Schizosaccharomyces pombe: one gene and its partner. Changing the gene in region 1 together with any one later gene gives a genetic interaction. Each region holds a gene or a part of one and is shown in the gene's direction. Other genes may lie near its edges.

The links.
Region 2: mutations in cap1 (region 1) and lsb1 impair growth when combined (synthetic growth defect), as found in Schizosaccharomyces pombe (one study listed by BioGRID).

What each region holds. Positions count from the first base shown.
Region 1 is NC_003421.2:423,133-428,162, reverse strand, and holds cap1 (adenylyl cyclase-associated protein Cap1), read left to right. Parts: upstream 1-1,800; 5' UTR 1,801-1,886; coding exon 1,887-1,945; intron 1,946-2,019; coding exon 2,020-3,616; 3' UTR 3,617-4,411; downstream 4,412-5,030. UniProt on the Schizosaccharomyces pombe protein: The N-terminal domain binds to adenylyl cyclase, thereby enabling adenylyl cyclase to be activated by upstream regulatory signals, such as Ras. The C-terminal domain is required for normal cellular morphology and growth control.
Region 2 is NC_003423.3:720,231-724,420, reverse strand, and holds lsb1 (SH3 domain-containing protein), read left to right. Parts: upstream 1-1,966; 5' UTR 1,967-2,077; coding exon 2,078-2,968; 3' UTR 2,969-3,414; downstream 3,415-4,190. Other genes in the region: copper chaperone Sco1, read right to left, coding at 1-662; meiosis inducing protein Mei3, read right to left, coding at 4,169-4,190.

The sequences.
Region 1 (5,030 bases):
CAAATTATTACTACCCATTTTTCCCTTGAGTTGTACAAGCCGACCGCAGTTACCTTTACACATTGTGCCAAGAAATTTACAGTTACTTTAACTGCCTTGGCCCTTTTCATAGAAGTCTAATGAGTTAGTGACTGAAGGTAAGATTAACCCCATTGTCTCACTTACAAGTCAAGAATATTAAAGCCAAAGTGCAAACAAGACACCAAAATCCAAATAACGTCCATTCCGCTGCACCATAATTTTTAAAGAAAGCGTCTTTATACTTTAGATAACAAACTGCTAGAGCATTGAGTAGAACGATTGGAGTGAATGATATTAGTAGTTTAATCAAAAAAGGGGAAGAATCATCTGTCGTCCCGGAAGAATGGTTTTCTCTATGTATGTTAGGAGGATTGCTTACACGTGCGTAATCTGTTTAAATTAATATGATTGAAATACTTTAGTAAAGAAAGTGCATGTATCAAAGTGTGTGCATGCATGGCCGACTATAAACAATGATCACATCCAAGTTATTTTACAGCAATGGCAAGTTTCAACTTTCAATTGAGTAATTCCTTTCTTATTATTTACAATTCTTACCTGAATATGGAGGTAATGCGCCCTCTTCCTCTGAATTATATTCTGGAAGCAGGCCTTTTTCCAAATCGATTTCATGATCTGTCTTCAATTCATCTTCTTCATCTAGAGGACTTTTCAAGGAAGTGTAATTATTCTTCATTTCATCAAGATAATTCTTTATTTAATAAAACACATGCGCGAATTAATTGCTGTGATTGCGACAAACGAAACAGCGAAATCAAGAATATTCACTCTGGAGTTCAGTTCCCGCCGCTCAACATAAATAAATGAGCAATACTCGTTTCAAAGCAAACTGTTTTTTCAATAATAGCAAGTGAAAAGTAGAATTCCAAAACTCATTTTCAAAATGCAATTGCTTCTGACACATTTATTTTGTCACTGCCCTTTTTATTCACCCCAACTTAGCTTTCCTTAAACGTTATAGGGTTCAAGACATTAACGCAGTACAGCAAAATTACAAATGCGTGTGTACCGCCTTATTTGCCAGCAGCCATTTAAATTAATAAATAAAAGTATGATTAATGTAAAATGACTTAGTAAAATCAATTTACTCCTAAATTATAAATCAACATAATTTTCAACGTTGTTTTGCTAGGTCTTATTTGCCAATACTGTACAGGCAATGTTATTATAGTCGTTTAAATAACTGCATTCCTTCACTTTCATCGTAAACAAATTCTTTTTAAAAAATTGAGGCATTAACATTTCAACAATGAGACTATACTTAGAGTAAGCATAGGGATATGTAGGAAAAGGATTGAACTTCGTCAAAAGTTTAGCGACTGTAAACAGCACGTCAAAAATTAAAAGCTCAGCAACGGCATCGCTGCTTCTCTTTTCCAATCTTTTAACTCAGAAAGCGTATATAGTTTCGATTGCACAACAGACGAAGCTGCCAGATTAAAAACCTTACCTCGATAATCTCTGGACTCATCTCAGCAGAGGTTCGGTGCATTTAATAATTACATTTTTTTTGGCTAAAGTAAGGTGCAGCGCGAATATGGAATTATTTTTTTATGTTAAGTATTTATGTTTGTTCACAGCCAAGACACGATCATTGCCAGTAGCTCTTCTAGCTTCAAAAGAGGGAAATAGTTATCGTTTTTTCAATTTTTTATATAATAAAAACGCTAGTTTATACTACAGCTGAAAAGGTTAAGTCGCTTTTTTCGATACCGAGTTTCATATTGCTTAAGCCGGCTCTATGTTCCTTCGTCCTCCATCCACCACCACACTTACTATATTTGTTGCGTTGCATTATAAAAATCACTTAACCTCCGCTAAACACATTTTCTTTTCGTCTAACCATGTCGGATATGATCAATATACGTGAAACAGGCTACAATTTTACCACGATTCTCAAACGGTATGTAATTGCATTAAACTGCTAAAAGAGTAATAGTCTTTAATTGATTATGCATCTAACATTTACTCATATAGACTGGAAGCGGCAACTTCTCGTTTGGAGGATCTTGTGGAAAGTGGTCATAAGCCTCTTCCCAACATGCATCGTCCTTCTAGAGATTCAAACAGTCAAACCCACAACATATCCTTCAACATTGGTACTCCAACGGCCCCAACCGTGTCGACTGGTAGTCCTGCTGTCGCATCATTACATGATCAAGTTGCGGCTGCTATCAGTCCTCGGAACAGAAGTCTTACATCCACCTCTGCCGTTGAAGCGGTTCCTGCTTCCATTTCCGCCTACGATGAATTTTGTTCCAAGTATTTATCTAAATACATGGAATTGAGTAAAAAAATTGGTGGTTTGATTGCCGAACAAAGTGAACACGTCGAGAAGGCTTTTAACCTTTTACGTCAGGTTTTGAGCGTCGCTTTGAAAGCCCAGAAACCCGACATGGATTCCCCGGAACTCTTGGAATTCCTCAAGCCTATCCAATCTGAACTGCTCACTATTACCAATATTCGAGATGAACACCGCACCGCCCCCGAGTTCAATCAACTTTCTACCGTCATGAGTGGAATTAGTATTTTGGGCTGGGTCACAGTTGAGCCCACTCCATTATCCTTTATGTCTGAAATGAAAGATTCGTCCCAATTCTACGCCAACCGTGTAATGAAAGAGTTTAAAGGTAAAGATGACTTGCAAATCGAATGGGTTCGTTCTTACCTTACTCTGTTGACTGAATTGATTACATACGTCAAGACCCACTTCAAAACCGGTCTCACCTGGTCTACTAAACAGGATGCAGTACCCTTGAAAACGGCTTTGGCAAACTTGTCTGCTTCGAAAACTCAGGCACCATCTTCTGGCGATTCTGCAAACGGCGGCTTGCCTCCACCACCACCACCACCTCCTCCATCTAATGATTTTTGGAAGGATAGCAACGAGCCCGCACCTGCTGATAATAAAGGTGATATGGGAGCGGTGTTTGCCGAAATTAATAAAGGCGAGGGAATTACATCCGGACTTCGTAAGGTGGATAAGAGTGAAATGACCCACAAAAATCCGAATTTACGTAAAACGGGACCCACTCCTGGTCCTAAGCCTAAAATCAAAAGCTCTGCTCCTTCTAAGCCAGCGGAAACTGCTCCCGTTAAACCACCTCGCATTGAGTTGGAAAATACTAAGTGGTTTGTTGAAAACCAAGTCGACAATCACAGTATAGTCTTGGATTCTGTGGAGCTCAACCACTCAGTGCAAATTTTCGGTTGCTCCAATTGCACAATTATAATTAAAGGAAAGTTAAACACCGTTTCCATGAGCAACTGTAAACGTACTAGCGTTGTAGTAGATACTTTAGTGGCCGCTTTTGATATTGCTAAGTGTTCCAATTTTGGCTGCCAAGTTATGAATCACGTTCCAATGATTGTTATCGACCAATGCGATGGAGGTTCCATCTATTTGAGCAAATCTTCGTTGTCGTCCGAAGTTGTCACTAGTAAATCAACAAGCTTGAACATCAACGTCCCCAACGAAGAGGGAGATTATGCTGAACGTGCTGTTCCCGAGCAGATCAAGCACAAGGTGAATGAAAAGGGAGAGCTTGTCTCTGAGATTGTACGTCACGAATAAGTTTTTCTCAGAGAGCTTTTTCAAGCTATATTCCTAACGGTTTCATAGTAAAGATTTAAGTTGATTTGTCTAGAGCTTTTTATTCATCTTCATCTTTTTCTTTTACTGCTACTAACGACACACTTTGCTCGATGTTTTGTAAAATTGATCAATCAAATCTTCGGCTTATTTCAGAGATACAAATATTTGTTTTCCCTTCGCTTTCGACTTTCCGATGCGATTTACCTTTTGCCCAAATATCCCTTGGACTCAATGTGTACTTCCCCACATACATCTTTATATTGAATGGGATCGGATAATGCGCGGGAAAAGTTGTTGTCCGTACCACGAATTGCTACGTTGACTTTATGATATATGCGTGCATGCATACATACGAATAGTGGTTATTTTACGAGTTAAACGATATAGAAGCTTAAATTTAGTGATTGTTTGTGTGCAAATAGAATTTATGGATGACAATGATAAGGCTGTTGTATATGACGCTTCCTCATTTCTTTTTCCCTGTTGATTTTAACTCGAAAGGATTTTAAGTGTCTTCCGTTCGCCAATTGAATTCATCATCATCTTCTTTTTGTTTTTGTTTTTCAGTCTAAACAAATCCTCTAGCTAAGGTATCATTTTCTCGATTGCTGTTTTGCTCATGTTATGTTTTTATGAAAAAAAGCCATGCTGTTCAATAAAAGAGGAAAGGAAGATTTTGGAAGTTTTATAGTTGAATGAGTTCATCTATAAATATATACATATATACATATATATAATATACAAAATATTTTTTCTTTGAGGCTTGAACTATAACTTTACAACTGTCACTTTCATTCTTACATTGTACAGCTGCCTGTATAATCTGTTTCCATTGTAGAGTTGAAATAGTACAGTAGCTTTTCTTTCTGCCAAATATTTACAGTAGTGTAGCAAGAAGCCACTATACGAGTTTTAGGAATTTATTCCGCATTGCTTTGCACTGTCCTGCGGTTTGCTATTTTAGCCAGTCGTCGTTCTTGACAAATCGGCGTTCGATCTTTAATGCCCGTTGAGATCGATTGCGTAATGCTACAACCTTATATTGAGTGTAAGCACTACCCCACAATTCGTATATATACTGTACCAACTCACTGTGTGATTCTCAACTTCAACATATCTTCCAAATAGTCAACGTATAATCAACAAAGCTCGGGACCTTGCCTAAAAGTATCTAAAACGACTTCCAAAAGCGTACCTCGAACTTGTTAAGTTTAAGGTAAGTAAAAGTGAGTATGCAAAACGATCAAGTTACATCCCAATTTGCCAGAAAAAATATTTTAAAAATGAATAAACCGACGTAAATACTACTCTTGAGACCTTTTTATACACACGAAAGTCGATATTTTTTTTGGAAAAAAGTCTTGACATAAACAGCTACGCCAGTCTTTATGTA
Region 2 (4,190 bases), on another chromosome or scaffold:
TCAACCAGATAATCATCCTTTTTAGGGTCAATGTTCTTAGGGGTAGAAAAATAGACTCGGAATTTTTTACAAATATCTTTTATTTCTTCATAGGATCCTGTGAGACCAACGATTTTAGGATTGAAATCTTCAAGGTATTCAGCCATTTCTTGCGGAGGATCACGGGCTGGATCACAGGTTATGAAAATAGGATAAACCACGTCTCCAACAACATTGTTTACAATATCAATAGCTGCTGACATTTTGTCGAGCTCGTCGGGGCAAATGTCGGGGCATCTGGTGAAACCAAAGTAGATTAAGGAAAATTTTCCCTTGAAATCGTTATCAGTAACTCGATTTCCATGATGATCAATTAAAGAAAAAGCACCTCCTAATTGGGGACGACCTATGGTAGCCAAAACCTTGTCGTTTTGCCTCTCCAACACTTTTTTCTTTTCATGTTGGAAATAAGCATAAAGGCCAACGCTTGTTGCAGCTGCAAGAAGCAATGCTCTTATAGAAATCATTCCACGCCATGATTGGTATGTCTGCGTTCGATTGTCAGTAGCTAGATTTTTGCGACCGTCGGCAAAACGCGCTAGGCACGTACGATTCAAAGGAAATCGAGGACGAATCAAGCTGTAATGACAATGCCTAGAGAAAACTAAACCCCTTCGAAACATTACTTGATTTGAGTGATTGCCAACAATCGATTCAAAAATCGTAATATTTGGACAAGACAAAAAACTGAAGTTAAAACAGTAACAAAAGTATAACCAAGACTAGCAAGTTTTAAAAAAATTTAAAATCTTTTCTGTCTCTTCAAATACAAAACGGAGAAAACAATTTCTCACAAAGAATAAGCCTCTCCAAGTTAGTCCAATTTCACGTCAGTATGGGTATTTGGGTGGTAATGAAGACGTTGAAAATAGAATTTCACCAAAATTACTGCAAACATTTTAGCGTTCAAAAAAAACGTAATTTTATCGCTAATCCTTTAAAGAGTTCATATGCATATAGCCGCTTCTCCAATGCTGTAATTTCAATGTAATCTAAGTTTTAATACGAATGAAAATAGACACAAAATATGAATTTCGTCAAGGATCAGAATGACTTATAAATGAAAGAATCATTACTCAAACGGTTACTTAGCTTGTTCAAATCGCTATATTATAGTATGTGATTATTGAATATTTTTTTTTGGAAGAATAAAGACCATGCATACCGTCTATGCGGCTTTGCTGGAATTGTCAAATATACACAACTTGTGAGATTTATTTTTATTTTTGACAAATAATAAATTTCCGTTGGAAACCAATTATACTGCGCTGAGACGCATTTGTTGAGAGATTGAAAATTCAATTCACACAGCATTCTAAAGCACCAAAATCATTTTTTTAAAAGCCCAGATTTCAAGTCAGGATACAAAAATATTACTTCTACTTAGGGATGTTTTCAGGTACCTGAAGTGAGATTTGAAATTGAAAAATATCGTCTGGATAACTATACTAAGGACCTTTTTTATTTATACGAAAACACAGCTAGTGCCATGCTTTTTTGTATGTTTTTACGAATATCTGAAAGCAAAGGCTCTACATACGGCGAAATTTAATTGAGACATAACAAATGGTTAGAAATTCCTATTTCATCAAATTGTTCGATATTTTGTAGCCATACCTAGGAAAAAATTCTTTCTCAAATTTTCAATATTTTTTCCTGATACATTGAACTTGACAGTTCAAATGTTCTAAGTTAAAAATAATTCCACTTAATAACTTGCTCACATAATTCAATTTTTTGAAAAATTCTAACGAAAACTTATGGCACACAAGTTCTCATTTTACTATATAAAAGGATTTTTTTAAAAAAAATTGCATTGTTTTTCAGCCCCGGTGGAAAGCATTGGAATTTTGGCGCCACGATCTTCGTATGTTTTTTCCATATATATACCTACCAGGTATACACACCAAGCGGTAGTTGTAAACCTACCTTCCGCCATTACCACTAATCAGCAAAACTTTTAAAGATTGATAAGAATTAACTGAAATAATTTTTATTTGAGATCTTAAAGAGTTAAGTAATAAATTTCCATAGAAATATGGATCATAAAAACTACCTGAATCATGTTATTCGTGGAATCTACAACGACTTCCAATTCCTTGTTGATGAGGGCGTAGTTGAAAGGAGTGCTTTGGATTGGGTTCACGCAAATATCCATTTACAGGACGGTCCCGCTAGTCCTGTAACTGCTCCAGCTGCTCAACCTGTTGAGTCCTCAGTACCCCTTCCCTTGCCCAAGCGGAAGAGCTCTGTGGAAAAAAGAGCAGGATCGGTAGCGTCTGCCGTAGCAGCAATGTCTTTGTCTCAAAACTCTGGAGAAAAGAGGACACCCGAGGAACCTCGTAAGCTGCCTGGAGTGCCTGCCCCACAGAAGCAAAGCGAGGCTTCAAGTGTCAATTCATCTACCGAGAAGCTTCCCCCTCCTCCCAGCTATCCTGGACCCAATACTGCCCATAAGAACGTTGAGCGGGTTTTGGCGATGTACGACTTTCCTGGCCCTGATGCTGGTGATTTAGGTTTCCATGCTGGCGAAGTTATCATTGTACTTGAGCATGTCAATAACGATTGGTGGCGTGGTGAATTGAATGGAAAGGAAGGAATCTTCCCTTCTAACTATGTGCGTTTGTTGGAAGATTCTGCCGTTAAAGCTCAACCTCCTCCTCCTCCACCACAGCAAAACTATCCCCCAGCAGCATCTTCTTCGGCACCTCCCATGCAGTATCAGCAAACAGCATATCCACCTCAGCAAGCACCATATCCACCTGTCCAAGCCTATCCTCAGGCGCCTCAACAACCCATCGTGGTTGCACAACCGACCGAGCACAAGCACTCATCAACATTCAAGAAGATTGGTAGTGGTTTGGGTTCTGCATTTGTATTCGGTGCTGGTGCAACTGCTGGCGCTGATCTCGTCAATTCCATTTTTTAAATGCGAGTTCGTTTCTTTCCTTTTTCTATGCTTTTTTTCTTCCTTTATATAAGTAAAACTTTCTGTGTGGTTGAACTAGCACCTGTGTTTGTTATCGTTGGTGCGCAGTTGTTTTTTATTTTGAAATTTCCAAGTAGAAATTTCCGTATATCGCGAATGCATTTCCCTTGTTCATGTTTACTCCTTTGGTCTTTTGTCTTTTTCTCGACTATGCTTTATGCTTATAAAGCAACACCGCGGCATAGCTGCTTCTTCATAGATTGAGACACCTCATTTATGTGTATGAATTCGATATCCAAACATTGTTGCATATTCTTTATGATTATCGATGCGTACTATTAAATACGCATGTCTCTTGACTTTTGTTTATTTTTAGTGTTTTTCTTTTTACGACTTTCATACCGTTTATATTTTAATTCCATAATAAAAAAAATAAATTACAAAGCAAAAATATGATTAATAGGGAACGAATGACAGTGTATTAGATTTGTTAATATGCTATGGTAAATTGTTCTATTGCTTAACGTATATTAAAGCAAAAAATAGTAAACGGATGAGGAAGTATAAATTAGGTAGCCTTTGTTAGAGATTTAATTACGATGTCCGGTCAGAATCGTTTCCATTAAGCAATAAAAAAGAATCGACGTGGAAATCCCATGAATGTAAAGACTCACATTATTAAAATGGGAAGATAAAGTAAAAACTGGAGACAGCGAATGTCCAACAAAAATGGAAGATGTATGAATAATGATGAATCAAATTCGGTAACACGTTGATGGGGATTCCAAGAGAAAGTAGCAGAATTTCAAAAAAAAAAGAGAACGACAATAAAAATGAACCTTTGTTTAAAAATAAAAGAAGTCAACACACAATAAAGAATAATGAGACTATGAACAGAAATGAAACTCAAGGGAGAATTGTTATAAAAAGCGTCTGAAAGCACTGGGGAATGAATGAAAGGACTAAATTTGTTTTAATTTTTTTTCTTTTTTGTTGTAAAAATGGAAAACATGAAAATAAGTATGCAAGTTCAAATATAATAGCTGTATAGTTAGGATGAAAATTTCCTATAACAGCGGTTTAATTAATAAAAATTAATGCTCGAAAGAGAATTTCTTTCAATTTTTATGTGGTGTTCATATTCCCCTTCGGCATTAGTCATTCAGGATCGAAGAAAATTAAGCTAATTTAAGCAGTTGCTTAGCGAGAGGTGTTGTTTACA